4 linked regions of the Arabidopsis thaliana genome follow. The protein of the gene in region 1 interacts with the protein of each later gene in a pairwise test. Each region holds a gene or a part of one and is shown on either strand. Other genes may lie near its edges. The genes, in order: PAP2, AT2G36340, ARF19 and ARF6.

The links.
Region 2: the proteins of PAP2 (region 1) and AT2G36340 interact in binary tests that used the Arabidopsis thaliana proteins (3 or more experiments, as listed by UniProt).
Region 3: the proteins of PAP2 (region 1) and ARF19 interact in binary tests that used the Arabidopsis thaliana proteins (3 or more experiments, as listed by UniProt).
Region 4: the proteins of PAP2 (region 1) and ARF6 interact in a two-hybrid assay, tested with the Arabidopsis thaliana proteins (2 studies listed by BioGRID).

Annotation. Positions count from the first base shown.
Region 1 is NC_003075.7:14,321,641-14,327,535, forward strand, and holds PAP2 (phytochrome-associated protein 2), read right to left. Parts: upstream 3,722-5,895; 5' UTR 3,574-3,721; coding exon 3,152-3,573; intron 3,048-3,151; coding exon 2,794-3,047; intron 2,714-2,793; coding exon 2,572-2,713; intron 2,428-2,571; coding exon 2,366-2,427; intron 2,063-2,365; coding exon 2,025-2,062; 3' UTR 1,656-2,024; downstream 1-1,655. Other genes in the region: AT4G29070 (Phospholipase A2 family protein), read left to right, coding at 469-1,120, 1,268-1,395. UniProt on the Arabidopsis thaliana protein: Aux/IAA proteins are short-lived transcriptional factors that function as repressors of early auxin response genes at low auxin concentrations.
Region 2 is NC_003071.7:15,232,996-15,239,192, reverse strand, and holds AT2G36340 (DNA-binding storekeeper protein-related transcriptional regulator), read right to left. Parts: upstream 3,707-6,197; 5' UTR 3,336-3,706; coding exon 3,117-3,335; intron 3,028-3,116; coding exon 2,740-3,027; intron 2,653-2,739; coding exon 2,515-2,652; intron 2,391-2,514; coding exon 2,283-2,390; intron 2,196-2,282; coding exon 1,704-2,195; 3' UTR 1,289-1,703; downstream 1-1,288. Other genes in the region: AT2G36350 (Protein kinase superfamily protein), read right to left, coding at 1-290; AT2G36330 (Uncharacterized protein family (UPF0497)), read right to left, coding at 3,895-4,089, 4,521-4,656, 5,053-5,573; AT2G36325 (GDSL-like Lipase/Acylhydrolase superfamily protein), read right to left, coding at 5,969-6,171. UniProt on the Arabidopsis thaliana protein: Probable transcription factor. Involved in stress responses. Plays a repressive role in cell expansion by counteracting the positive role of CPR5 in this process, but does not regulate cell proliferation or endoreduplication.
Region 3 is NC_003070.9:6,626,773-6,635,834, reverse strand, and holds ARF19 (auxin response factor 19), read left to right. Parts: upstream 1-2,701; 5' UTR 2,702-3,055; coding exon 3,056-3,098; intron 3,099-3,394; coding exon 3,395-3,507; intron 3,508-3,586; coding exon 3,587-3,682; intron 3,683-3,759; coding exon 3,760-3,816; intron 3,817-3,900; coding exon 3,901-4,056; intron 4,057-4,147; coding exon 4,148-4,232; intron 4,233-4,319; coding exon 4,320-4,410; intron 4,411-4,486; coding exon 4,487-4,847; intron 4,848-4,924; coding exon 4,925-5,063; intron 5,064-5,145; coding exon 5,146-6,890; intron 6,891-6,981; coding exon 6,982-7,172; intron 7,173-7,256; coding exon 7,257-7,440; 3' UTR 7,441-8,152; downstream 8,153-9,062. Other genes in the region: AT1G19210 (Integrase-type DNA-binding superfamily protein), read left to right, coding at 8,305-8,862. UniProt on the Arabidopsis thaliana protein: Auxin response factors (ARFs) are transcriptional factors that bind specifically to the DNA sequence 5'-TGTCTC-3' found in the auxin-responsive promoter elements (AuxREs). Could act as transcriptional activator or repressor.
Region 4 is NC_003070.9:10,684,530-10,693,459, reverse strand, and holds ARF6 (auxin response factor 6), read left to right. Parts: upstream 1-2,471; 5' UTR 2,472-3,423; coding exon 3,424-3,466; intron 3,467-3,552; coding exon 3,553-3,671; intron 3,672-3,756; coding exon 3,757-3,855; intron 3,856-3,948; coding exon 3,949-4,005; intron 4,006-4,089; coding exon 4,090-4,245; intron 4,246-4,329; coding exon 4,330-4,414; intron 4,415-4,503; coding exon 4,504-4,594; intron 4,595-4,677; coding exon 4,678-4,842; intron 4,843-4,923; coding exon 4,924-5,046; intron 5,047-5,126; coding exon 5,127-5,202; intron 5,203-5,294; coding exon 5,295-5,442; intron 5,443-5,523; coding exon 5,524-6,761; intron 6,762-6,842; coding exon 6,843-7,033; intron 7,034-7,118; coding exon 7,119-7,335; 3' UTR 7,336-7,638; downstream 7,639-8,930. UniProt on the Arabidopsis thaliana protein: Auxin response factors (ARFs) are transcriptional factors that bind specifically to the DNA sequence 5'-TGTCTC-3' found in the auxin-responsive promoter elements (AuxREs). Seems to act as transcriptional activator.

The sequences.
Region 1 (5,895 bases):
GGATATTATATCTAAATATAAAAATCAAACCGACCGAATTACTACATACACTACAATAATGTTTTTTTCCTTTTATAATTTGTGGGCTAAAAAAGGTCGGTCGGCCCATTTTGAGCCCAATAAAATTTAGGGATAGATAAAGACATAAAGTAACGAACGATATTCCGAGGTTGTCATTTGCTAAGGAAAAAAAAAACGAAAACGTGTGTCTGTCTCTTCTCGTAGCGTCTCTCAAGCTCAGGTTCGTGAACATTCCAATCTCTCAATGCAAAAGCTCATTCGAATTATCCTTCTCTGTTATTTTCGAGATCCGATTTACTCTTCTTTACTAGTCAATTCTAGGGTTTTGAGTATTGATCTTTCGCAATTTCGAAATTTTCCCAATTTGAAAAGATAAAAATCTTCCCTTTTTGTCTGGATCACACTTGATTGCTGAAGTCATTGCATGCACTGTTTTGTTGTTTACAGATGAATTTTGGGTTGCCAAGTATATCTTGGTTTGGTAGCATCAGCACAAAGAAAGATGTAGCTATGATTGATTCCGTGACACCAACAACAACTTCTCTATTGGAACAGCCAGAGCAAGAGAAAGCAACAACCTTTCTTCTCAAACAGCCAGAGAAAGAGAAAGGCTTATTTGATATAAAGATATGGACTTGGTCCTCCTTCAGTTCAGTTCTTCCTTGGTCTGCAAATGCCTCTGATGGTAAGCAGAAACCCACTACTATCAACAGAGGGTTAAAAAGGCATGCTCTTTCTCGGAGGTCATCAAGATCAAATGGTGTGAATACTGTTTATCGGTTTAGACCTTATGTGTCTAAGGTTCCGTGGCATACAGGGACGAGGGCGTTTCTGTCACAGCTTTTCCCGAGATATGGACATTATTGTGGACCTAACTGGTCTAGTGGGAAAGATGGAGGTTCGATGGTTTGGGATCAGAGACCTATTGATTGGTTAGATCATTGCTGTTATTGCCATGATATTGGTTATGATACTCATGACCAGGCAGAGTTGCTTAAAGCTGACATGGCGTTTCTTGAGTGTTTGGAATCAAACAAGCGTGTAGTTACTAGGGGAGATGCTCAAGTTGCTCACTTTTACAAAACAATGTGCATTACAGGTAACTACAATCTCCTTATGCTTTTATATCAATGTGGGATTATTTCATAATTTACCTTATTATTCAGGTAGTAATATTTGATAATGGCCGTTTCCATTTGGTGATGTACTGATGTATCTTGAAACCATCTATCTCGAATGCTTTCAGGTCTCAAGAGCATACTAATACCCTACAGAAGTTACCTTGTGAAGATACAATACGGGCAAAATCTACTCGACTTTGGCTGGATAGTGAGCAACCTCAGCAAGAGAAGCTGGAGTTTTCAGAAAAACTGAGACATAAGGAAGTATATCGGAGGTACTCTGTCATCCCGGTAAGCCTTTGTGGGTGTCTTCACTTTCGTTTTGTACATAGAAGTCATAAAGAAAGGAATCTGAGGATTAGGTTCTTTAGTAGTATAGATATATATGTTTAGTATGAAGATGTGAAAACGCTAGTAAGTGTTGTGCGTCTTGTAAACCCGTTGTACATGTCTAGTAATAAACCCTTGTTTTTGAAGTCTTTTGTTTGAATGATATAAGCTCTATCAAAGGATCATTATAACTTCATTTCATGGAAACTCATGAACTAGAAAAACTATTTTCTATAGTAAAGTTTGCATCCAAAACATATATAACAATGAAAACCACATCCGGTTTACACACTACCAAAACTTTTATACATATGAATTATGAAGTCTTCCTTGGCAAACACACATACACAAACCCATATGTTTCATTAGATTGATTAGAGAAAGAAGTAAGAGGAAGAGGCCTTATTAGAGCTTAGTAGAGGCTGGTTTAAGAAAGATCAAACATCACTCCTAGCACACAAACACACAAGAATACTTCAAAACAAAATGGCTATTCAATTTCTTAAAAACATATTTTTTCAAATCATATATTATCACATAAAAGGGCTTTTCCTAGTTCCTGCTTCTGCACTTCTCCATCACCCTTGGAGCTGCAAAAAAAGAAAAAGCAAGATTTGTGTATGAATCATTGTGTATTCTTCATTTGTACAGTAGTGTGCAGTAAGTTCCTAGTGTTTAAGAGGCTTGGAAAGGACTAAATTGCATCGTTTTAGTTTCTCCAGTAATATATTTCTTTAGCTTCAGAATGTTTATAGAATCCAGCGAGAAGCTTAAGAACCATGAAAGTATTAGAAGGGTGTCTTAGTTCAAAATGGACCACCTTTCTAATACATCTTAAAATCGAGCACATGGGTGTGGAACATTAAACTAGGGTTTAGTAAAGAAATACTAACCTAAGCCGATAGCCTCAGAGCTCTTCATGATTCTCAGCTTCTTGCAGGAGCATATAAACATTCTGCAGAGGAAAAAACAGTAAGAGAGCTTCACTGATCTATATTCTTCTGTTAAGCTAAAACTGTGCTAAGATCATTAGATATGATCTAATACTTGATGTTAATTTACATTGTTGAGATTGATCTTTTAAAAATCAAAGACTTACTCCCAAGGGACATCTCCGACCAGCATCCAGTCACTGTCTTTATCTTCATAGGTTACAACATACTCAGAACCACGCAAGAGATCAGTCAAGCGACTCTCGTTTAACCCATCTCTGCCACACCCTCCATGAGAACCAAACTGACCTGAAAAAAGGAACCAAAAGAAAACAGTTAACTCAATCACTGGTATTGATCTCAAAGAAGGAGAGACTAGAAAACGTTACCAATGGTGAAGCAACTGAACATCTTCTCAAGAGCAGAAGAGAGCTCAAGGTAGCTTTTGTAAGTCTTGAGATCGATTTTCCTCAAGTAAGGAGCACCTTCCATACTCACTTTGACATACAAGCAAGGTTGTTCTGGTCCAGACTTAGCTTCTGCTTCTTCAGTCTCTGAGTTATTACCAGGTTTCTGAGATTGAGAAGAAGCCATTGAGTTCTTCCTGAATGATCTTATTGGTGGCCATCCCACCACTTGTGCTCTGCTCAATCAAAAAAAAAAAACATCAAGAATCCCTCTTCACAGAAATCATAAAACAGAGCAAAAAAGCTGAGAAAAATCTAAAACAGAGCAAAAAAAGCTTACTTTGAAGCTGGAGCTGTAGCAGAGCTCTTCTTCTCCTTAACCGGAACAGCCGGTTTAGTGAAAGTTGTCGACTTTCCATCTTTAACGACGGAGGTACGGGGACCAGAACCCGAGCCGACATCACCAGTAGCAGTAGTGGATCCAGGAGAGAAGACCCATTTGTTAGAGTCGTTAATAGCGTCGGAGAACACCCTTTTGGCACCTGACACGGGACAGCTACTCTTGTTGAGAGCCAAGAATCTTGAGTCGACTCGCTCCGGCGACTCAGAACCGGGTAAACCGAGTCTTAACTCGGTAGCCTTGAAATTGAGACCGTTGTTATTGTCTCTGGTTTTGGTTTTGTCAGACATTGTTGTTGCTTCCATGGTTGGAAACTCTGACAAACCTATGTAATCATGCTCTGCTGCTACAGATACAGACATTTTTTTCAAATATAATTGTGGACAAACTTTTGAAGCATTTAGTGATTACAAAAGAAAAAAAGAACAGAACACTTTCTGAGAGAAATGGGAAACAAAAAAATTTAAAGATGAGATCAAATTGTGAGTGAAAATGAGAAATGATAAAAAGGTGTGTGAGAGAGCTTTATTTTTTTTTATTTTTTTACCTTTAATCTTCTTTTTTCTTGGAATCGTATTATTTTCCAAAAGTGGACGGAAGTAGTATACGTAATTTTATATTCATATAAACCGTAATTAGAAGTAAGTACTTTCCTCTTTTGGCGGGTTTAAACACAAAATGTTGATTTAAGAAAATGGTACACATGAATGTATTGTATATACACGTTACGTTTTGTGTAGACATCTACTCCCCGACAGGTCACAGAAAGCGTCCTGAAACCTTTCCTATTATGCCCTTGTCTCGACTCTCGTATTCCACGTTTTGTTTTACTTTTTACTTTTGTATTTGAAAAAAACAATTTGCTATCTCATGAAGGTGTGCATGTTATGCTATCATGCAAAACGATTTAGTATCTAAAATACGCTTTTGTATGCAATTCCTTTTTGATATATGTATAGAGATGTTGTAATGAGTCACTAATTCTGTTTAGTTTGGCTTAACATTATATGTTTTAGATTCACTAGACGATTTGATATAACTCATAAGTTAGCTCGTGAAACCAATCTTTACTCATGAAATTGAGTGATGATAATGATAATCTAATAACGGTGAACCATTTAATCATGTGCATGATAGCATAACATATTCTATAATAAATCAAACGTATTGGAGTTTAAACTTCACAAACTTGTATAAATTCACTAGTAGTTTAGCTAACGAATGGAGATTATTAGTAAGTCGCCAATAATTGCGATGGAAGATGATATTTAGGCTTGGGGGTGAGAACAGAGAAGAGAATCTCGAAAAAGTTTTGGGCCCATAGGCTCTCATTTTTTGGGTCCACCAGAAGCATGAAAAGAGGAAAGAAACAGTAGGGGTAGCTCTTTGCCACTTAGCCGCAGTAGCAATATTGAGCAGTGTTCCCAAAAAGAATTGTGGTCTCCACACTCCACTTTTCATTTTTATCAGACAATGTTTTCCCAAAATCGAGCATATATGCTACAGTACATTACAATTTGACCTATTAGTAAAACTTTGATACTTGGATCATAGTCTTAAATTAATAAAAGTTTAAATGATCAAATCAGATTTAACTTTGATAGTATTTATGCCCATCTAATCTATCTCCAAGTATATTTTTTAAGTGGATGACTCAATCTACATTTAAACGTTTCAACTCATATTTTAACCCATATTTATTAAACCAATATATCTGATGCTATAACAATATAACATGAGAAGAAGTATATGAAATATTGTCATTTATATTCTACCAGTGATTTATATATTGTTTGGCTGTATTGATTAAGTCATTCATTTGTAACAACGATAAGTATATACATAGCAAGAAGACATACAAAAAAGACCTGTAAGTTGCAGTATTATAAAATATCATATGCATAGTAATTTGGTTAAAGCCTGCCTCTAAGGTGGATCCATCTTTGGATCTTATCTAAAGCTTTTTAGATTTGTGTTTTAGTGTAAGTTCGAGTGTCTTAATCATAAGGTGCCTTTCTTTAACTTTTCCTTTGTCTCTCTCTTTTTTTGGGCAAGGTTTTTGTCGTTTTTGGGACATCTCAACTTATATTCCACCTTAACTCACCATCTAATCGTGCCATTAGTTACTTACAAAGCTATCTAAGGATACGAATCTTTAGTAAAAATGTGTCTATCACTATAGAAATCATATGAAGGCTATAAAATCTAAAGATTAGTTGGAGTTACCCAAAGTATTTACTTATCTATATGGATGTTGCATCACATGTGGCGGTTTTAATTATTGTTATTATTATATATGGCCACGTTGGGTTTACTGTATTAACAAGAGACATCATAAGTAACTCTAGGGTTTAATTATACTAGCGAGAGACAGCTTAAGTAACTTAAAATGTTGGTTTTGAATGTTTGTTTATAGACTTGTGTGAGCGACAAATACATACTATAATTTTATTTATTTTTAGTACTGATGTTATACTTAATGTTTTTTCATTTTTTTCTGCTTTTCATCAAGCATAATAATTATGACTATAATTGAAAACTATGTAGTTAGTTGAGGATCGAATGGAATTACACTAAACCTAAAATGTTAAATCAGTGGACGACCGTACTTACAGCGTTAGTGAAAGATCGGTTTGTGTCGTAATCGAAAAAAGAAGAAAAAAAAAGAACAAAGAGACAGTGTG
Region 2 (6,197 bases), on another chromosome or scaffold:
CCTTTATTTGAAGGGCTTGTGCTCCTGCTCGTACCAGCACTTGCGCTCGTCTCAAGATGATGGAAAGAAGAGCCCATCACTCTTCTAGGTGATGGTTTTATAGTTATAGACTGGAAAAGCTGATCAATGTCATACTCCATAGAACCTTGGTACCCTGACTTCAATGCAGGACGCTGCTCCATATCTTTACTTGATCCCAAAGGTGACATACAATATCTGCTAGAATGTTTGGCTAACCTTACCGCATCCTTCTCCTCAACAATTTCACAAGAACCTGCAAAGGATTCCATCTTAATGACTTACTTTACAACAGTGGACAGCTCCTCATTACAAGACTTGGTTTTTGAAAGACCGAGAGACTCATCTTCCTTGGTTCATCCTAATAATTCCAGTACAACACCCTGCAACAATCATAAGAAGAGACCTTATGGCTTATTTTAAATAACTCACAGAGCAATAATCCAAAGGAAGAGCAGTGTCTATTGAGTAAAGGGAAGGAGAAATGATGAACAAAGTAAGGAAAGGGAAACAACAAGAGATTTAAAAAGGAAATGAACAGTGAAAGTCATTATAGTTATAGACTCAAATGATGAACCCTACACAAGTACAGATAGAGATTAGCTACTTTTAGACTTTAATTAACAAAAAGAAGACATTTTTTTGGTAGGGAAACCAAAACTTTTAATAGAAAGAAATTCATCAAAACCACAAGCCAAGTTCAACTCACTTCACCTAATGAAAATGTAATCAAAACCCATTAAATGTGAAATCAAAGCAAAAAAAAAAAGCAGCCTCGAGATCCCAGATCTCATGAAGCTAACATAAACAGAATGCTAAGAACACTAGCTTAAGTAAAGATTCAACTTTTAATGGAAGATGTCAAAATCTTCAAATCCTTCTGAAGGAAGAGTCCCCAAATCTCATCAAAAGAAACAAATATCGAAAAATGCAGAAGCAAGTACAGATACAAAGACGTACCTAATAACATTAGGAGGCAAAATAAGCTTCTAGAGAGTGATTACAGAGCTCAAGAAGACTCCCAAAAGAAACCTAAAGCCTAAAGGCCTGAGCTTGAAGAGAATCTCTCACAGAGATAGAGTAAAAAAAAAAAATGGAAAAATTTTCTTTAAATTTGTCGGGGATTTTGGTGTTTAGTGTTTCGGTGTGATGATAAAGTTGAAATGTGAAAGTGTGGGACCCAAAGCATATGTTTTGGCTGAAAATTACGTCCAAATTCGTCGTTTCTTTTTTTATTTTCTTTTCGTCTTCATTACATTTCACATCAATCTCTTCTCCGATAATTGTTGTGTAATAAATATTTTGAGTTGATCTATGGTCTTCGTTGAGTGTGTAGTACAAAAATAATATCTAACACAAGGTGAAATTAGTGGCATGTGGCAAAATGCGAATCTTGGCTTTAAGTGCTTGTGTCTTTTTCTCGAAAGAGACAGACGCACAATAAGAAAAGAATGTTAGTGGGCCTGAACAATCGTTATCGAAGCCCAACCCAAAAGGAAGAGTCGAAACAAACACAACACTAAAAAAAGGAGAATCTGCTATGGTTAGCTCTAACTGTTACTTACCTCAGTTACCTGGCTCTAGAACAAGAACGGATCGTGGATACATCATGTTTTTTCTTATCAATATGACACAACCAAAAAAAAATGAGATCATTCCAAAAGCAGAGATTTTTCTTCATTGAATCAAGGAGAAACTCCTAAGTTTGCAAGCTTTGCGGCGAAAGTTAGTTTCTTGACACACAATCGCTGCTCATCAACAAACAATGCCTTCCATTCGTTGATGAGCTCTTTTCTTCTTTCAACTCCAACGTTTTCCAAATTCTGAAGCAGCAATTTTTGTTGATATCTACCTAAACTTTGAAAAAATGTATCCTCCTTAAATATCTCCTGGAGAACACCCAACTCAACCACATCATCTTCTTCACTCTTGTCTTTCACACCATTTTTACCTAAACCTTGAAACGATATCCCAGAATCAAGTGTGTCCTCCATAACACCTACCTCATCCACACCATCTTCTTCGCTACTCATCTCTTCCTCACCATTATCAATCTCGATACTCACCCGCTCTTGCTCCTCACAAGGCACATCCTTATTCTCTTGCTCCTCACAAGGTACATCCTTATCGCCTTTCTCCTCACAAAGCACATCCGTATTCTCTTGCTCCTCACAATCCTTACTCAAAACAAGAAACCAAGATCAATAAATCATGTTTTGAGGTGGTAATAAGAAGATCGGTAGAAACAGAACAAACACACTCACCATGGTTTGGTCCAATTTCTCTTTCTCACCATTATCAATCTCTATACTCACCCGCTCTTGCTCCACACAAGGCACATCCTCACTCTCTTGCTCCACACAAGGAACATCCTTATTCAAAACAAGAAAACAAGATCATTAATTCATTGCACATCATTAGTAACACAATTTTTTACATCATGTTTTAAGATGGTAACAAGGAGATTGGTAGAAAAAACAGAACTAACACACTCACCTTGGCTTGGTCCAATTTCTCTCTCACACCATTATCAATCTCGATATTCGCTCGCTCTTGCTCCTCACAAGGCACATCCCTATCGTCTTGCTCCTCACAAGGCACATCATTAGTCTCTGGCTCACCAGAAGGAACATCCTTATGCAAATCAAGAAAACAAGATCATTAATTCATTGCACATTAGTAGTCTAAGAGATTGTTGAAAAACAGAACAAAGACACTCACCTTAGCTTGGTCTATATTCTCATTAGAAACATACTCTGATTCATTCTTGTCCCATATGATCAATGACAATTTGAAGATTTCATCATCATCAGTATTAGTAAAAGAAAGTTGTTCCCCATGGTTAGATCTCCCCTGATTGTATGTAAACTTTCTCTTCATGTTCTTGACCTTATTGATGAGCTGAATCTTCGAAAACTTTGCTTCTACACAATCTTTGATATAACGGTACAAGGCATCCCAGTCAGATCTATAGCTCAATTTCGTTTCATTCTCATAGTCCACAATACCCTTTTACACACACACACAAAATAGAGTAAAAAAAGTTAGAAGAGGATAAAGAAGAATATAGAGAAGCTGCAAAGAATTTACTAACTAACCCCGAGAATGACAAGCTCATCGTTTTTAGACCAGTTCATCTTTGAAGCAGAGGAAGACAAGCTCAATGGTGTTGTCCTCGTCGTTGTTGTCCTCGTCGTTGTTGTCCTTAGTTGCTTTCTCCTACTGAGCATCGCCTCAACTTCAACCTCACGGTTCCTCGTGAGTGTGTCATCCGAGTTGGTGTCGATGGAATCAGCAACTCTCTTCGTACCAACCATTGATCGGTGATGAAAGATCAAAACTTTGTCAAGTTATATAAAACTCTCAGAAAGCTCAAAACCCTATTGTCAAACAGAGTCTCTCGAGTCTCTCTATTTAAAAACCCAGAGACGATACGAAGCAAAAGCACGATCAATCCTTTGGCGGCTATTGATATTCTCCAGGCGTAGGAACTAGGAAGTCCGAGTGTCGAAAACGTAAATGACTAAAATACCCTTTTCCATTTTTAAACATTGGGCTTGTGCAAGATGGTTTCTTCTTCCTTCTTCAGGGTTCAAGATGCACAATGGATAAGTCTGAGGTCTCATTTACAATCGAGGACACTCATATGGCTCAAGAGCTGAAAAGTTGTTGCCTTTTGCTCTGTCAGAGTCTTTATTTAGTTGGCTATAAAGACCCTTTTGACAACAGGATATGCCTCTCTTATTAACCTCATAGTTTTTGGAAACCTTTATATAGGCTACAAAAATAGTATAATAATTACAATGCTAAGATATATTGATCATTTTTATTATACATCACACAAGGAGTGTGGACCTATACAAAAAGGTGGGAGGATCAGAGAGAGCCTTGGTTAAATAGGTTATAGCCTGAAATGAGGGAACTGAAAGCAAAGGCAAGGAAGGCCAGGAAGGACATAGCAATCGAGGCACTTGCCATCTCTGTGAACTCGTCTTTTCCCCAGTTTGAAACCCAATCATCAACGCGAGTGACTGCTGCTGTTGAGGCAGACATAAGCAGATATGCAAGTACCTGATTGCACAAACAAAACAAACCTTTCTTATTCATAATTCCATCTGTTTTTACACATGCTTTTGAAATGTTTTGCAGGGGACGAAAGAGATTTCAATTATGTAATGAAGGGAGTAGTTTGGTCAAACAAGTATAACAGTCACTTTCACCATGTTTTCCGACCTATAAGATAAATCCCTTTCCACATATGCTATAAGCTAAAGCATAAAGAAAAAGAGTAACAATATTGGACTTTAACCACAAAGTGTTGTTCTTTGATTCACAGGAGACAGGGTAAATACCAGCAGATGGTGCAAGTCAAAGTATCAGGAATTATCTATAGCCAAGTTTTTCTCATCACCTAGATGCAACCACGTAGATCATACTTCATACAAGAACGAAAGTAACAAAGGAATACCATCGAGAGTACAGCATAAGTGTTAATGACTTGCCTGATCTATAATGAACTCAAACAGAGGTCGAAGGTGGTGGCTGATCAAATGCTTCTCTTTGACAAGATGGTACGCTAAGTCACATGCTTGAAAACTAGAATATACAAAAGCAACCACGTTCACAGACAGGCAAAACCTGTCACAGATATCAGAAGATGACACATAGATAAATCAGTTTAGTCTCAAAATCAAAAATCAAATCATACTAAACTGACTTCAAATGTTTGACCAAAACAACAAAATGGAAACTGCAAATGAATTCTTACGATCCAACAAATCAAAATCAATGTCAAAAGGAACAAACTTTACTTCTTTTAAGGACTTCACCAAGTTCAACCAAAACATAGACTTGGACCACGCAAGTGTTAAAGACAATTCACATGTACTAAAACTAAAGTAATCCAAATTTCTTATCAAAAAACCAACACTAGTGATACTGATAAAACCCTAAACCCTAAAATAAACCCTGAACCTAAATTCAAGAAACATCACTATCTGCGAAGAAATAAGCACAAACACAACAAATAATTACCTGTACTCCTTGTAACGATCGAAAGAATCACCACTCCAACCTTTAGTTTTATCAGCAGCCATAATTGAGAAAGATATCAAAGCCAACACAACCTCACTCAACCGAAACCCTAAAGCTGAAAACTTTACCACCTCTTCTCTCCTAGACCTTCTCAAAATAGCCGAAACAGCTCCAGATCGTTGGCCACTACTTCTCCCAGAACCAACTCTCGCACTCTTTCTCGTCGGAACCACTTCTTTCACAGAGCGATTGTGATTATGAACCACCACAATCGGAGATGGAGTTTCCTCAACCTTTCCAGGATTCTTGTTTCTTCTACTCTCGGGTTTACTTTTCGCATCTTCCTTCTCCGATTCACTGGAATGATCAAGAGAATGTGGCGGCGATGGAGAAGAAGAGAAGTGAGTAGTGGAGTTATCGAAAGCTACTATAGCCATTGAAGTATCTGACGGAGGTGGAGATTTCTCCGTGGAAACTGAAGAAGGTGACATCGACGGCATCGTCTTTGCTGGAGATCTCATCGGAAATATCAAACCTTTGTAACGAAATTTAAGGAATTTGACAACGCAAAATCGAATTTAGGAATAAGCGTTGAATTGAAGCGACAAAGAACAAAAGTGAAGTCTTTGATGAGAATCAAACACAGAAAGAAGACTTTGCAAGATTCTTTGTCTACTTCTCCCTGTATTCTTGGTTCTTTCGTATAATGCCCCACTATTTTAGTTTTGACAATTCGCACCTAAAACTTTGATTTGTTCTTTGTGGCCCTTGGTTTTGACTCTAGACTAGAGTCTCTAGCTAATAATTATTATTTAAGTGGGTATTGAAATAATCTTTGTATGCATTGTTATGAAGACAATTGATAATCATCATATATCATTAGAATGGAGAATTATTGCATATTGATCTAGTTGATTTAAAACTGTGAATCAGGAAGAAGAAGAGAAAAAACAGAACGCCATCCTTGATCACTGATATGAACATTGTCCCAAAAGAAGAATGATTTTGGATCATCGCAAAGAGTGTACAACTTTTTACCACTCAAGCTTCTATCTCCACAAAAGGTACCTCGTTTTGTTGCACAACATGCCTTAAACGGATCCGGAAATGTCGAAACTCCTGCCCAAATTTAAACATTTATATTA
Region 3 (9,062 bases), on another chromosome or scaffold:
GTGAATAATCAAGGGTAAAGTGAAATTTCTCCCCACAAGTTGTGTAACAACAACTATATCGATTAACGAGTCAAAAATTAAATTACCACATGAAAAATGTCAAAGTTAATTAGGAACTTTTTTTTCATTGAACCAATTAATTTTTGATGAAATTTATGGTTTATTAATCTGACACAACACTGTATAAAAGATTTTTTTTGTTAAAAGTTAAGAAAGAAGAATGTTGAGAGAACCATCAATGTTAAACCAATAGATGATAGTCAAGATTCATAGTATAAAAATTTACCACATTGGTTGAGAGATCAATTCCTTTCACCATAATGTCAATCATAATTAGCCGCTAGAAACGTTTTCTATGTCAAAAATACACAGCTTTTTCATATTGATTTTGGTTCAGAATTTCATGGTTTTATACCTTGTTTGATAACGTCATTAGAACATATGTACTTTTGTACTACTGAAACATTAAACTAGTGTGCAAAACAAGATTTTAAGATAGTCTAAATTCCAGTTAACAGAAAAATAAAAAATATTGTTGGTTGGGAAATAGTAGAACAAACGAGAGAGAGAGTGTGTGTGGTTACGATGAGGAGAAGAGACATAGAGGCATACACTCACTTAAAAGCAAAACCATTTTGGCTAAACCGAAAGACTCGGTCGGAGTCTAGAGCCTGTCTCTCCCGACATCCTCTGCCACACCTCACGTGCATGCTGCACCCACACTCACGTGCACATACATTTTTCTTGTGTTTTAGTTATTTTAGTAAAAACGATATATTTATTGACTCTTTCTGTAATGGTGGTAGAAATTGAGGAATTCACAAAAGTCCCAAGTTTTTGTTATATATGGTGCATGCGTATGTATTTGAGGAAACTTTTGCAGGATGCGTGGATCAAATCCAATTATAATTTAATTTTATATAGATATAAAAGTCAATAGTGGGAGGTGAAAAAAATATCAACAATGATTGAGTGTTACTACTACTAGAATGGTTAATTCGTTTTGATGAGGAGTGATTTCTAAACACATCAATTGTTGTACGTACATATACTCTCCACGCGCAGCAAATATTGACCCAAAAAGGCATAAAAAACACTAAAGCATGCCAACTTTTTATTCTTGTTGAGATTTACTTTGTCGTCCCATATCTTTTCAAATTTTGATCCTCTATAATATATGTTTAAACCTAACTTATCAAACTTTACATTCCTTTTTCTTTTGCTCACTAGGTAAGGCTCTTGAGATCGCTTCACCTCATCTCTTGTTTAACATTTATAAACATGTAGCTGTCTGGTTAATCAATTTACATGTGGTAAATTATAAATTACTCTAGAAAGAGATGTATATTAAACTGCTAAGTTCATGGCTAATCTTCGGTATTTCTTGTTTAACCGCGATAAGTTGAACATATATTAATGAGCTCTTATGGTTTTTGTTTAATGTCCATTTGGAGGTGTGATCATCTCATATGTTCTCACCAAAAGATTACCACTTGAATTCTTTTACATGTGAAATGTTTTAATTTATTAACCCTCTTCTGTTTTGATCAAAACATAAACTATATATTTGAATCTTTTATATATAATTCATATTAATTAAATAACATCATGTTTTCAATGAATGTATTGACATGATATCAATGAAGAATATTTACTTTGGAAAGAGTCAGAGTTGTTCTCGAAAGATATTTAAATGTTCCAAATTATTTCCGTTTGTCTAAACATAGAAAATCCCTAATTACATATAAATCAACAAAAAGGTAATAATTAGGTCAAAACCTCCCCCACTAAATACATGTATACTGAGATTCAGAAATACAATACTATTATAGTATATGTTAATTGAAAGCAAAATTCATAAGAAAGATCGGCGTTGAAAGGAAAAAGGCTCTACAACTACATTTTATATGCATACGTAGAGAGCTGAAAGTAAGGAACAACTCTACTCCGGTCCAGATTAATTGTAAAGAACTTTATACATTAATTAAAACAAAAACGAACACTTTATACTATTGATTAAAAAAAGAAGAAGATGAATAAAATAATTGCCTGAAAAATTAATAATTACACATGAAGGCTTAGCTTTAATTGGAGTATAATGATGTCCGTAGCTCTGTAAACATGTGAAGTTCTCCTCCTTTTGCGGCTAGTGGGTGCTCCATTGCGTATCAAAAGGAATATTATTCTAATCATAATTAAGTCATTAAATTACTAGTAGTGTTTTTTTTTTTCTCGCATTATACGGACATGTCTCAATTTGGACCAATCCATATAAATGAATAAACTTATTAGCTACTACTATATTATAACAGAAAATATGTATATAAAAGAAAAAAAGTGGGACATCTTTTCTGGTAACCAAGAGTTTACAACTTTGGATTAGAAAATATTTAAGTCCCCATTTGGCTTGCAATTTTCGGTCCGCCGAACCTAATCCTTAGGTTTTTCTCAATATATCCGGGTTTATGGTATAACCTCATTCATAAGAAAATCCGTATTACTAAAGTAAAAAATTAAAAATATGGTTATAAAAACGAGGGAAAGTTAACAGATTTTAAAACCATGGACTGTTTTTCCAACAACAGTAAATTATAATCGGAAAAGATAAAAATAAAAAGAAATAAAAAAGGTGGGACCGACAAGAAGAAGACATCAAGTGGGGTGCCACGTCAGAAGGCATAAGAAAAGATTTCATCTTTCCGCATGTATCCGATCCCAATCGGCTTAAATCTCAATATCGATTATTGTTTTTATTTTTTTGAAAAAACACTTGAGAATCTGCAGAAACACGAGAAAAAAAAGAAAAGTTTCAAAGCTTTTTAAGAGCTTAAAAATTTGCTTTGAAGCTTCAAATATTCTTATGAACTAAAAAGAAGAAAAAAGCTTTTGTTTCTTTTTCCTTAGCAGCAGAATGATTTTTGTTTCCAAAATTATTACTATTTAGTTTCTCTCGTGCTCTTCTCTTGAGCAAATACAGATTCGTTAATTTTGCTGAAGAAGAAGAACTCTGTTTCTTCCCTGCACCAAACCAATTTTTTCGTTCTTTCTATAAACCATGAAAGCTCCATCAAATGGATTTCTTCCAAGTTCCAACGAAGGTACACAAGCTTTATATTTATCTTCTTCTTTTCCAGATTTTATACTATTCAATTTCTTCATCAAGGAGTTTCTGCATTTCATGTTTGTGATTTTCTCATTGAAAAAATGAATTTTGTTATTCAATTTCAACTTTGGAGTCAGCACAAAGTCACAAATCGAGTTCTTCTATCACTTTATTTAATAAAGTGGTTGAAACATAAATGCCGCTCATAAAATTTCCAGACTTTAAATGAAACTATGCAAAAATTCTATCACTTTTAACAGATTTGAATATGTGTGTGATGATGATGAACAGGAGAGAAGAAGCCAATCAATTCTCAACTATGGCACGCTTGTGCAGGGCCTTTAGTTTCATTACCTCCTGTGGGAAGTCTTGTGGTTTACTTCCCTCAAGGACACAGCGAGCAAGTAAGTTCATTGCGTTTCAAACTATTTTGAAACCTTTGGTAGCAATCTAAGTAATATGTTCAATGAAACCTTTTTTCAGGTTGCAGCATCGATGCAGAAGCAAACAGATTTTATACCAAATTACCCAAATCTTCCTTCTAAGCTGATTTGCTTGCTTCACAGTGTTACATTACATGTAAGTCTCTTCTGACTCCAACTTGTGAATCAACAAGAAGATGAACTAATCAGGACTTTTGTGAAATTCTGAATCAGGCTGATACCGAAACAGATGAAGTCTATGCACAAATGACTCTTCAACCTGTGAATAAGGTCTGAATTATATCATTCTTCTTGTGCTATCTTGGTTTAAAGTTGAGGACTTTAATGCTGATCTTTGCTCAAAATGTGTGACAGTATGATAGAGAAGCATTGCTAGCTTCTGATATGGGCTTGAAGCTAAACAGACAACCTACTGAGTTTTTTTGCAAGACTCTTACTGCAAGTGACACAAGCACTCATGGTGGATTCTCTGTACCGCGTCGTGCAGCTGAGAAAATATTCCCTCCTCTTGTATGTCTCTCTGATCAAAGCTACTCTCAGTTTCTTTTGCTTCAAACTTTTGAATCTGTTTTGCTAAAAGTTCTAAGGGTGCTTAAAATAGGATTTCTCGATGCAACCGCCTGCGCAAGAGATTGTAGCTAAAGATTTACATGATACTACATGGACTTTCAGACATATCTATCGAGGTTTGAATCATCTAAAGTTTGTTTTATTAGTCTAAAAGATTGAAAACTTCAACCTGATTTGTTTTCTTTGATGTAATCTGATCTCAGGCCAACCAAAAAGACACTTGCTTACCACAGGTTGGAGCGTTTTTGTTAGCACAAAGAGACTATTTGCGGGTGATTCAGTTTTGTTTGTAAGGTATGAGTCATACTTTGATCAAAACATTAAGCAGAATTGGACTTTCATCTTCTCATAAGGGTACTTGGGTTTGCAGAGATGAGAAATCACAGCTGATGTTGGGTATAAGACGTGCAAATAGACAAACTCCGACTCTTTCCTCATCGGTCATATCCAGCGACAGTATGCACATTGGGATACTTGCAGCTGCAGCTCATGCTAATGCCAATAGTAGCCCTTTTACCATCTTCTTCAATCCAAGGGCAAGTCCTTCAGAGTTTGTAGTTCCTTTAGCCAAATACAACAAAGCCTTATACGCTCAAGTATCTCTAGGAATGAGATTCCGGATGATGTTTGAGACTGAGGATTGTGGGGTTCGTAGATATATGGGTACAGTCACAGGTATTAGTGATCTTGACCCTGTAAGATGGAAAGGCTCACAATGGCGTAATCTTCAGGTAATGACATATCCGAGTTATGCTAAACTGTTTATGATGGTCATTTCTTCTGAATCTTTTGTTCATGGTTTAAACAGGTAGGATGGGATGAATCAACAGCTGGAGATAGGCCAAGCCGAGTATCCATATGGGAAATCGAACCCGTCATAACTCCTTTTTACATATGTCCTCCTCCATTTTTCAGACCTAAGTACCCGAGGCAACCCGGGATGCCAGGTGAGTTTACTGCTTTCGTTCATTTTTTTCCCATAGATCTTTGACTGAGTTTCCGGATACTAACCTTGGTGGTTTGTTGCAGATGATGAGTTAGACATGGAAAATGCTTTCAAAAGAGCAATGCCTTGGATGGGAGAAGACTTTGGGATGAAGGACGCACAGAGTTCGATGTTCCCTGGTTTAAGTCTAGTTCAATGGATGAGTATGCAGCAAAACAATCCATTGTCAGGTTCTGCTACTCCTCAGCTCCCGTCCGCGCTCTCATCTTTTAACCTACCAAACAATTTTGCTTCCAACGACCCTTCCAAGCTGTTGAACTTCCAATCCCCAAACCTCTCTTCCGCAAATTCCCAATTCAACAAACCGAACACGGTTAACCATATCAGCCAACAGATGCAAGCACAACCAGCCATGGTGAAATCTCAACAACAACAACAACAACAACAACAACAACACCAACACCAACAACAACAACTGCAACAACAACAACAACTACAGATGTCACAGCAACAGGTGCAGCAACAAGGGATTTATAACAATGGTACGATTGCTGTTGCTAACCAAGTCTCTTGTCAAAGTCCAAACCAACCTACTGGATTCTCTCAGTCTCAGCTTCAGCAGCAGTCAATGCTCCCTACTGGTGCTAAAATGACACACCAGAACATAAATTCTATGGGGAATAAAGGCTTGTCTCAAATGACATCGTTTGCGCAAGAAATGCAGTTTCAGCAGCAACTGGAAATGCATAACAGTAGCCAGTTATTAAGAAACCAGCAAGAACAGTCCTCTCTCCATTCATTACAACAAAATCTGTCCCAAAATCCTCAGCAACTCCAAATGCAACAACAATCATCAAAACCAAGTCCTTCACAACAGCTTCAGTTGCAGCTACTGCAGAAGCTACAGCAGCAGCAACAGCAGCAGTCGATTCCTCCAGTAAGCTCATCCTTACAGCCACAATTATCAGCGTTGCAGCAGACACAAAGCCATCAATTGCAACAACTTCTGTCGTCTCAAAATCAACAGCCCTTGGCACATGGTAATAACAGCTTCCCAGCTTCAACTTTCATGCAGCCTCCACAGATTCAGGTGAGTCCTCAGCAGCAAGGACAGATGAGTAACAAAAATCTTGTAGCCGCTGGAAGATCACATTCTGGCCACACAGATGGAGAAGCTCCTTCTTGTTCAACCTCACCTTCCGCCAATAACACGGGACATGATAATGTTTCACCGACAAATTTCCTGAGCAGAAATCAACAGCAAGGACAAGCTGCATCTGTATCTGCATCTGATTCAGTCTTTGAGCGCGCAAGCAATCCGGTCCAAGAGCTTTATACAAAAACTGAGAGCCGGATCAGTCAAGGCATGATGAATATGAAGAGTGCTGGTGAACATTTCAGATTTAAAAGCGCGGTAACAGATCAAATCGATGTATCCACAGCGGGAACGACGTACTGTCCTGATGTTGTTGGCCCTGTACAGCAGCAACAAACTTTCCCACTACCATCATTTGGTTTTGATGGAGACTGCCAATCTCATCATCCAAGAAACAACTTAGCTTTCCCTGGTAATCTCGAAGCCGTAACTTCTGATCCACTCTATTCTCAAAAGGACTTTCAAAACTTGGTTCCCAACTATGGCAACACACCAAGAGACATTGAGACGGAGCTGTCCAGTGCTGCAATCAGTTCTCAGTCATTTGGTATTCCCAGCATTCCCTTTAAGCCCGGATGTTCAAATGAGGTTGGCGGCATCAATGATTCAGGAATCATGAATGGTGGAGGACTGTGGCCCAATCAGACTCAACGAATGCGAACATATACAAAGGTTAGAGATCTTTCTCTCCCTTTCCATAGCTCTAATCTTTTGCTTCTTAATTTTCGAATGCTAAATGCCGAAAGTTGTTAAATCATTGAAGGTTCAAAAACGAGGGTCAGTAGGTAGATCAATAGATGTTACCCGTTATAGCGGCTATGATGAACTTAGGCATGACTTAGCGAGAATGTTTGGCATCGAAGGACAGCTCGAAGATCCGCTAACCTCTGATTGGAAACTCGTCTACACCGATCACGAAAACGATATTTTACTAGTTGGTGATGATCCTTGGGAGTACGTTCCAGACCTGAAAAATCTATCTGTAACAGTCAAGATTGAACAATTCTGATAATTCTTGTCTGTTTGTTTTTTCCACAGAGAGTTTGTGAACTGCGTGCAGAACATAAAGATACTATCATCAGTAGAAGTTCAGCAAATGAGCTTAGACGGAGATCTTGCAGCTATCCCAACCACAAACCAAGCCTGCAGCGAAACAGACAGCGGAAATGCTTGGAAAGTACACTATGAAGACACTTCTGCTGCAGCTTCTTTCAACAGATAGAAATAAAAAGATGCAAATATACCAAGTCAACTTACATTATCATTCGAGGCCATCGCAAAGTACATGTTTTTTTTTGTGTGTATGTACTGCAAACAACAAACTGAGAAGAAGAAGATACTGCACGGTATATAAACATTTTTATAGGACAGTGATTTGATTTTTCATTCTAACTTGATGTTGTTGTACTTTCTTGTTTCCATATTTGTATAACAAGTATAATGCTTGACAAGTCTATGAGGAGCATATCTTATACAGAGATACTAAGATGTAATGTTAATGTAACTAAACAATTACCTTCATTAATCATGAATCTTTGGTCGTTTCTTCTTCTTCTCTTCAGTGCCTCCTAAGAATCAGGGATCATTTCAGATTCTTTTATACCAGTATCCTCTAGACGCAGCGAAATATTCAACATTTCAACGTTTGAAAACGAAAAGAGAGGAGTTAAAGAAAGAATCACGTGAAAAACAAGGACAAGGACAAGAAAACCAAACAGTCTCTGAGATTTCCCGTGTGAGTTGTGACCCACACACATTAAGACTCAAGCTTCTAGTAACATCCGCCACGTGTCCATTCCCCTGACACTTTGCGGCGTTTTAAGTACAAACGCGCTCCCTTTGACCTTTGAAGCTGACCTTCTTTCTTCTTCACGCGCCATAAAAAGTCAAAAACTCACTCTTCACTCTTTTATTTCACTCGTATAAATAAATTTCTGAAGCGCCAAATACAATTATCTCAATTCAAATCAACACTAACACTGAAGAACAGAGCTCACTGAAAAAACTTAACAGAACAAAATTAAACCGGAAAACAGAGAAATCATACCGGGTTGGTTCAATCGCGTCTTTGTTTGGTTTAATCGTGATGGAAGGGTCGTCTTCTTCGATGCAGTCAAAGTACAAAGGAGTGAGGAAGAGGAAATGGGGAAAATGGGTTTCAGAGATCAGACTTCCCAACAGCAGAGAACGTATTTGGTTGGGCTCTTACGATACTCCTGAGAAGGCGGCGCGTGCTTTCGACGCGGCTCTTTATTGTCTCCGTGGCAACAACGCAAAGTTCAATTTCCCTGATAATCCTCCGGTGATCTCCGGCGGACGTAACTTGTCGCGATCTGAGATAAGAGAAGCTGCTGCGAGGTTCGCTAATTCGGCGGAGGATGATTCAAGTGGCGGAGCAGGATACGAGATACGGCAAGAATCTGCTTCAACATCGATGGACGTTGATTCGGAGTTTTTGAGTATGCTTCCGACGGTTGGTTCGGGTAACTTCGCTTCGGAGTTTGGGTTATTCCCTGGGTTTGATGATTTCTCCGATGAATACTCCGGTGATCGTTTCAGAGAGCAGCTTTCGCCTACACAAGATTATTATCAGCTTGGAGAAGAGACTTACGCCGATGGTTCCATGTTTCTTTGGAATTTTTGAATTCCATTATTCACAATCTGAAAATTTTGACTTGGGTTTTTTATTTTTTTTTGTAGTTCTTTACCCAATTTTTTTTTGATCATTGGGATAAAGAGTTATTCATTCACTATTTTTTTCCCACGTGTTAGATTTTTCAGATGGGAAAAGGCCAAACTTAATAAAACAATTATATTTGGATCTTCTGACGTCATTTGATCATA
Region 4 (8,930 bases), on another chromosome or scaffold:
GTCTGAAAACAAGTTGATAGTAACAGTTTTGTGATTCAGAATTATTGAAACGATAATCTAGGTACCATAATAGTATAGGATTACCATTAACATAACACTCATAACAGTCGACGAACAATAAATATGGATATTTTTCGTATAAATGTGTGTAGTACACACAAGGATCCACACGTGTGGATTCAGTGTGGGGGAGGGAAGGGTAATTGCGTGTAGCGATGGAACACCGTAAGTACTGTGAAAGAGACCAATGGAAGAAGCCCTACTCTCTCGTTTTTAGTATTATGTCACGTCCCATCTCCAACTCATGTGAGTGCCCACTCGTAATTTTGATCCAACGGCTACGATTCATTCCTTGTTTTCATAACCATCATCGTACACCGCTCACTTCCTTTCTTTCTAGGGACAACCATACACTGTCCTATTCTTCTTCTTCTTACGCATATAATAGTATCTACATAACTATTTTGACGTCGAAAATCTATCCTATACGTATTTTAATAATATATATTACCCGTCAATTCAACTTTGTATATATCGCCGACAGAAATATATTAATACATATTCGTATATACATACCGGCTGTTCTTAATAAAGAAAGATTTCGCTTTTGAGAATCTTGTGACCCAATTCAAAACGTATAGAGTGGTGTGATAGCTAGTTAAAAGAATTTGACCATTCACAAATTCGTTTTGGTTCATATCAAAATTGATTTCCATTGCAATACGAATACGAGAATGACAAAAGTCAATGAATGATTTTGTAAGCAGAATTGATCAAGTATGACTAAGAAGCACTATTTTGGCCGCCAGGAAACTATGTTAGGAACATCATTACAAAAATTACAAATCTACGCTTTGTTATATACATGACATATAATCGATGATGCCTTCAAAATTAGTTTCATATTGAAACATAACAAAAATTAATAGTTTAACATGATAATTGACATATGTTGATTATACTAAATAAATTATTTGTAAAATAGGGGGGAGAGAGAAATATGAAGTAACAAAAACAAAAAAGAAAAGAAATGAGAAGATGTCTCTAAAAGCGAATTTTTAATTATTTATTACTCACCTAGTCACCTTATTTGTCATTTTTAATTTTTTATGTTAAGTAATTCTGAAATCTTCCATTGTTTTCACTAAATTCACCCATAATTCTATATATCCATTTTTTAAAACATAACTTGTGAAATCTAGTGTATATAATAACTAATAACTGTTATATTTTTATATTTGTTTGTGTGGGAAAATGTTAAGTAATAACTGTTATTTTGTATAACATGTTCTCTGTATATAATAAACAAGCACTAGGGTACTAGCTATAAGCTACGTTTCTAATTTGTCGCAAATTTTTAAGGTTTTGCTTAAGAATTAGTTGCATAAACAAATGCTAGTTGGATACTTTTGATGCTGATGTTTTATGTACGTATATCACTTTCTTGCATAAAAACACATTAGCCGAATTTTCTAGCAACTGACAATAATGCAACTGAATTTAATACAAATAAATAAATAAAATCTACAAAAGATATGGCGATGGTACTGATCTATTTGTATATAATGCTGTTTCCAACGTTACCCTTGTTTACGTCAAGAAGTTGCACGTGCCTTCTTAGGGCAGTCTTGTCATTTCCCCTAGGTAAATGATCACTATCTCCATTGTTTGGAATCAAAATTCATGTTCTCTAAATTTTTTTCTTTCTTTCGGATAAAATTATCTAATTAAAATTTATTGGAATCTTAAGAAAAAACACGTATATTCTTTATTACAATATATAGCTGAAGAAATCAGATTCGCAAATTTCCAAACGAGGAAGTGTGTATTATACATATATATTACCAATTATACCCTCTTCTACATGCAATTCGAACTACTATTATATACATAAAAAAAAAAAAAATAGAATCAGGAAACCCTAAAAGCACGTCCTGTCATTTTTATCAGGTGATTTCACTGTCTATATATATTGACTTATTGCTATATTCTATATAAAATAAATTTTGCTGTAATTCGCACACTTCCATTTTCACATTACACAATCAAATAATGAGGCAAAATAAAATAGCCAATGAAAGAGTACTTATGTACTCCAAACAGAACTTTTAAACCTTGACCAGTAAACCAAAGGATTTCTACAGCAATGATATTTTTCCTAAAACAAATTGATTCATTTTATTTGCAATAGTTCACTAAAACTCTAGTATAAAAAAGCCTTTGGTCATCCACTAGCTGAAAAAAATCTACAACAACACATAATTTTTATAAAACTACTATGACAAAGAAAAAAAAAAGAGTAAGAAATACGATCATGTAATACTATAATATATGATGGTACCATAACGTATTATTATTTTTTTTTTTTTCCTTTGTACCATAACGTATTATTAAAACCATAATAGTACTCAATTTTAATTACATGGACGACGCAACGAAGTTTTGAAATTCGGGAGAAGCATAAATTAAAAAAAGGCACGAGTCCCAAACTGTAAATAAAAAGGAAATAAGGGGTAAATTAGTAAATTAAGTGTCCTTTCAGAACAACAAGTTGCTTTAGAAGAAAATCAAAGACCCGCTCCGTTCGGGTTCGGGTCAAAAAACAGCCATTGTCGTTCTTTCTTCTTCTTCTGATTCTCATTTCAAATAAGAGAGAGAGAGAGAGAAGTAAGTAAAACTTTAGCAGAGAGAAGAATAAACAAATAATTATAGCACCGTCACGTCGCCGCCGTATTTCGTTACCGGAAAAAAAAAATCATTCTTCAACATAAAAATAAAAACAGTCTCTTTCTTTCTATCTTTGTCTATCTTTGATTATTCTCTGTGTACCCATGTTCTGCAACAGTTGAGCAAGTGCATGCCCCATATCTCTCTGTTTCTCATTTCCCGATCTTTGCATTAATCATATACTTCGCCTGAGATCTCGATTAAGCCAGCTTATAGAAGAAGAAACGGCACCAGCTTCTGTCGTTTTAGTTAGCTCGAGATCTGTGTTTCTTTTTTTCTTGGCTTCTGAGCTTTTGGCGGTGGTGGGTTTTTCTGGAGAAACCCAAACGACTATCAAAGTTTTGTTTTTTACAATTTTAAGTGGGAGTTATGAGTGGGGTGGATTAAGTAAGTTACAAGTATGAAGGAGTTGAAGATTCGAAGAAGCGGTTTTGAAGTCGGCGAGACCAAGATTGCGAGCTTATTTGGCTGATGATTTATTTCAGGGAAGAAGAAATAAATCTGTTTTTTTTAGGGTTTTTAGATTTGGTTGGTGAATGGGTGGGAGGTGGAGGGAAACAGTTAAAAAAGTTATGCTTTTAGTGTCTCTTCTTCATAATTACATTTGGGCATCTTGAAATCTTTGGATCTTTGAAGAAACAAAGTTGTGTTTTTTTTTTTGTTCTTTGTTGTTTGCTTTTTAAGTTAGAATAAAAAATGAGATTATCTTCAGCTGGGTTTAATCCTCAACCTCATGAAGGTAATTCTCTCTTTTCTCTCTCTATTGCTTTGATACTTCTAGCAAATAGTGATTTTAAACTAACTTTGTGAGTTTTGGATTGAAAGTTACAGGAGAGAAAAGAGTTCTTAATTCTGAGCTCTGGCATGCTTGTGCTGGTCCTCTTGTCTCACTACCTCCTGTTGGAAGCAGAGTTGTGTATTTTCCTCAAGGTCACAGTGAACAGGTTTTTGTCTCCTTCCTTTTATGATTTGGATTCAAATCTTTCCTTTTTGGTTACAGGTTACTTGAGAATGTTTTGTGGTTTTCAGGTTGCTGCTTCGACCAACAAAGAAGTAGATGCTCATATACCAAATTATCCGAGCTTGCATCCGCAGCTTATCTGTCAGCTTCATAATGTTACAATGCATGTAAGGAACTCACTATCAGTTTTTATGACAAACTTTTCTAAGTGTCTTTTCTGTTTGTGTGTTAGTTAAGAACTTGATTCCTTACCATTTCAGGCTGATGTGGAGACTGATGAAGTCTATGCACAGATGACTTTGCAACCGTTGAATGCGGTATGAGACTTTACTATGTAATTCATAATTAATTTTGTGGAATTTGTCGGTGTTTTGAACCTTCTTTGCTTGGTTTGAATGCAGCAAGAGCAAAAAGATCCTTACCTTCCCGCGGAATTAGGTGTCCCAAGTAGACAGCCTACAAACTATTTCTGTAAAACTCTGACTGCTAGTGATACAAGCACTCACGGAGGTTTTTCTGTACCTCGCCGAGCTGCTGAGAAAGTTTTCCCTCCCTTGGTAATTCATCTTATTGTTCATATGAATTCTACTTTCAAGATTAGCTATTGCCTCCTTAACAATAAAATTTTATGTGTTCTTCAGGATTACTCGCAGCAGCCACCAGCTCAAGAGTTAATGGCGAGGGATCTGCATGATAATGAATGGAAGTTCAGGCATATTTTCCGAGGTTAGCTTTCTTCGTGAAAAATCCAAGTTCTTATTAATAGCTGAAGAACAAAGAGATTTATTTAATCTGTATTTGTTTCTGCGTTATAGGCCAACCAAAGAGACATCTCCTTACCACGGGTTGGAGCGTATTTGTGAGTGCTAAAAGGCTTGTTGCTGGTGACTCTGTTCTTTTCATCTGGTTAGAAACATCTTTCAAATTGGGGTTTTTGTTTAAGTGTTACATTCAAATCATGAAACTGACTCAAGTATTTGTAATGCTAGGAACGATAAGAATCAATTACTTCTTGGTATAAGACGAGCCAACCGACCACAAACTGTCATGCCTTCATCTGTTTTGTCAAGTGACAGTATGCATTTAGGCCTTCTTGCTGCAGCAGCTCATGCTGCCGCTACAAACAGCCGATTCACCATCTTCTATAACCCGAGGTATCGTCTTAAGTACCTTATGAATGCACTTATGTGTTGATTCTCTTCGTTTTGCATCAAACGGATTCGGTTTTTCTGCAGGGCGAGTCCATCAGAGTTTGTTATACCCCTGGCTAAGTATGTGAAAGCGGTTTATCACACTCGCGTCTCTGTTGGTATGCGGTTTAGGATGCTGTTTGAAACTGAAGAATCTAGTGTTCGTCGGTAGGTGAATTATCAGAGTTCCTATAATTTACTCTGCTTTTTGCTGCTGAATGTCCTTAAGAATCTTCGTTTGTTGTCAGGTACATGGGTACAATAACTGGCATTTGTGATCTAGATCCTACTCGTTGGGCTAATTCGCATTGGCGATCTGTCAAGGTTTAGCTCAAAACCAAACCTTTAGTAGAAAATATTCATTGGTCTTTGCATTCTCGTATACATATATCATTCATCATCTGATCAAAATGCAGGTTGGGTGGGACGAATCTACTGCAGGAGAGAGACAGCCAAGGGTTTCATTGTGGGAGATTGAGCCTTTAACAACATTCCCTATGTATCCATCTCCTTTTCCTCTCAGGCTTAAACGGCCGTGGCCTCCTGGTCTCCCATCTTTCCATGGTATTGTAAATTTCAAAACTTTAACAAATCTCTGAAAGGTTTCTATTTCTAGTCTTTTATATCTTCTAATTTTGGTTGCAGGCCTTAAAGAAGATGATATGGGTATGAGTATGAGTTCACCGCTTATGTGGGATCGAGGACTCCAATCTCTAAACTTTCAAGGTATGGGAGTAAACCCGTGGATGCAGCCGAGACTTGATACGTCGGGCTTGCTTGGTATGCAAAATGATGTGTACCAAGCAATGGCTGCAGCTGCCCTTCAAGACATGAGAGGCATTGATCCTGCAAAAGCTGCTGCTTCACTTCTTCAGTTCCAAAATTCGCCGGGGTTCTCAATGCAATCTCCGTCCTTAGTGCAGCCGCAGATGCTGCAGCAGCAACTCTCTCAGCAGCAGCAACAACTCTCTCAGCAGCAGCAGCAGCAGCAACAGCTCTCCCAACAGCAGCAGCAACAGCTCTCTCAACAGCAGCAGCAGCAGCTCTCTCAACAGCAGCAGCAACAACTCTCTCAGCAGCAGCAGCAACAGGCGTATCTTGGCGTTCCTGAAACCCACCAGCCTCAGTCTCAGGCTCAATCACAGTCAAACAATCATCTTTCTCAGCAGCAGCAGCAAGTAGTGGATAATCATAATCCGTCTGCGTCCAGTGCTGCTGTTGTTTCCGCTATGTCTCAATTTGGTTCTGCTTCTCAGCCCAACACGTCACCACTCCAGTCCATGACCTCTCTGTGTCATCAGCAAAGCTTCTCCGATACCAACGGAGGAAACAATCCTATTTCTCCACTTCACACTCTTCTCAGTAACTTCTCTCAAGACGAATCTTCTCAACTGCTCCACCTCACTAGAACAAACTCTGCAATGACTTCATCCGGTTGGCCATCAAAGCGTCCTGCAGTTGATTCATCGTTCCAGCACTCTGGAGCCGGTAATAATAACACTCAATCCGTATTGGAGCAACTGGGACAGTCCCACACAAGCAACGTTCCTCCAAACGCTGTCTCGTTGCCTCCATTTCCCGGTGGTAGAGAGTGCTCGATCGAGCAAGAAGGAAGCGCCTCAGACCCGCATAGCCATCTTCTCTTTGGAGTCAATATAGATTCATCTTCTCTTTTGATGCCGAACGGAATGTCAAACCTTAGAAGCATTGGTATTGAAGGTGGTGACTCCACGACTTTACCCTTCACATCATCTAATTTCAACAATGATTTCTCGGGTAATCTTGCAATGACAACACCTTCTAGTTGCATAGATGAATCGGGTTTTCTACAATCCTCAGAAAACCTCGGTTCCGAGAACCCACAATCTAACACCTTTGTGAAGGTAAAGTTTTATTTCTTTTCCCTACCCAAAATGTTCTTCTTGTTTGCATGCATAGCGATGATTCCGGAAATGTTTTTGTAGGTGTACAAGTCAGGGTCTTTTGGAAGATCGTTAGATATATCAAAGTTTAGCAGCTACCACGAGCTGCGAAGCGAGCTTGCTCGCATGTTTGGCCTCGAAGGCCAATTAGAAGACCCTGTGAGATCAGGCTGGCAGCTTGTATTTGTTGACCGAGAGAACGACGTTCTTCTCCTCGGCGATGACCCTTGGCCGTGAGTTTATTAACTTATCCCTCATTTCCGCATTTGGTTTTGTCCATTTCCATGTTTATTTACCTGCATTTACCATTATCGACAGGGAGTTTGTGAGCAGCGTGTGGTGCATTAAGATACTGTCACCACAAGAAGTGCAACAAATGGGAAAAAGAGGCCTTGAGCTTCTCAACTCCGCGCCATCTTCCAACAATGTCGATAAGCTCCCGAGCAACGGGAACTGTGACGACTTTGGGAACCGGTCAGACCCGAGGAATCTCGGTAACGGTATCGCATCAGTTGGGGGTTCATTCAACTACTAGAAGTAGATGGAAACCTCCCTTTTTATTCAAGTTAAGTTTCAATCTTATAAATTAGTAGTGAGATCATCTTAGTTTAATTACTAGCAAAAATCTCTCTTTATTACTTATAAAAAAGGGAGATTTGCCTTTGCCTTTGATGGAAACAAAAACTATATAATCCCTCTGTCGACTCGTAATACTGTAATTATAAGATCTTTTGGTCTTTTTCTTATATGAATATTTTTACTGAACTCTATATATGTCACTTTCCTTACTCATTTCTTCAATCAATATGATAGTGAAGGGTTATTTTGGAGTTACATTAAGACTTTGTCTGACTAAAATGGTCCACAGAGAAAGTGATTTGGGTCCCAATCTCCTTATTGGAAGTGAAAGCGTTTTGTGGTTTTGTTGTGTGAAACACCAAAATATTCCGACCCGCAATTTGGGGCTTTACCCTAAAATTAGATCTCATTTTGCGTCAGCAAAAACTTTATCTCTAGACACGTATCGATCCGTAGTTCGTAGGACATTTTTATTGGTAGGTAAATTAATATATGCCCTTATCGTTTATAGTAAGTTTTTTTTTTCACAATATCGTTTATAGTAAGTTTAGTTTTCACCAAAGAATATGAAACGAAATTTGTAGAATGAGTATGGTTTTTGTTTGCGTCTTCATGTTAAGATAATTAGAATATTATAACATGGTAAAAAAGGAAATCTAACTCCTATTAACTTGAGAAAATAAACGTCATTTCGATAATTGATCGAAATTGTTGTGAATTTGGAAAATATCTTGCAATATAACTTTTTCTTGTTCGGTTTTATCGGAATGGGATTAGGTAAGTTATGAAATGGGCATCATTTGAATAGTATAAGAAGAATTTATGATTTAGTTTGGTATTTGATATTATTTTTGTTTGGTTGTCCATTAGGATATATATATAATAGAGTGACCAATTAATTGAAGACCATGTTTTATATATGATATTTAGTCAAAGAAATAACAAATCTGATAAAGAGATATTTGTAAGTATTTGGTTTTGATGTGTGGTGTATGAATGTGACTCACATAAATCTTTAGTGGTGGGACTATATATTCTAAGTAAGAAATTGGAAATGGTTGAAAATAATGTTGGGTGCATGTGGTAGGGACATTTATAGATGACACAAGTTAGGGCACTTTCATGAGCCCTAATTAAATAGTGCATGGTGACCCATCATTCTGAAAGTTCTCACCTTCTTTCTTTTCTTTTCTTTTTACCTTTTTTTCTTCTTTTAAAAGGTATTTCTTCATCTTACAAAATCAATTATTAATTTTAGTTTCATAGGATGTAGTAGCCATTCATTACATGGTTAAGAATATATTCAAATGAAGATCTAAGATCATAGCTTTTGTCTACTACACATAGAATCGTATGTCTTTTCTTGATAGATGTCATAACTATATAATTTCAATCTTATTAGAATTTCATGACTTTAATATCTAGAATTCTTGTTTGTTTAATTTGGGATTAAGTAGCTGAAAGTGGACGAATAAAACTCTTTGAGTTCATTAATTCAAAAACATGCATGAGTGCATTACTCTATAATTAAAATTATTTTCATTGATGAAT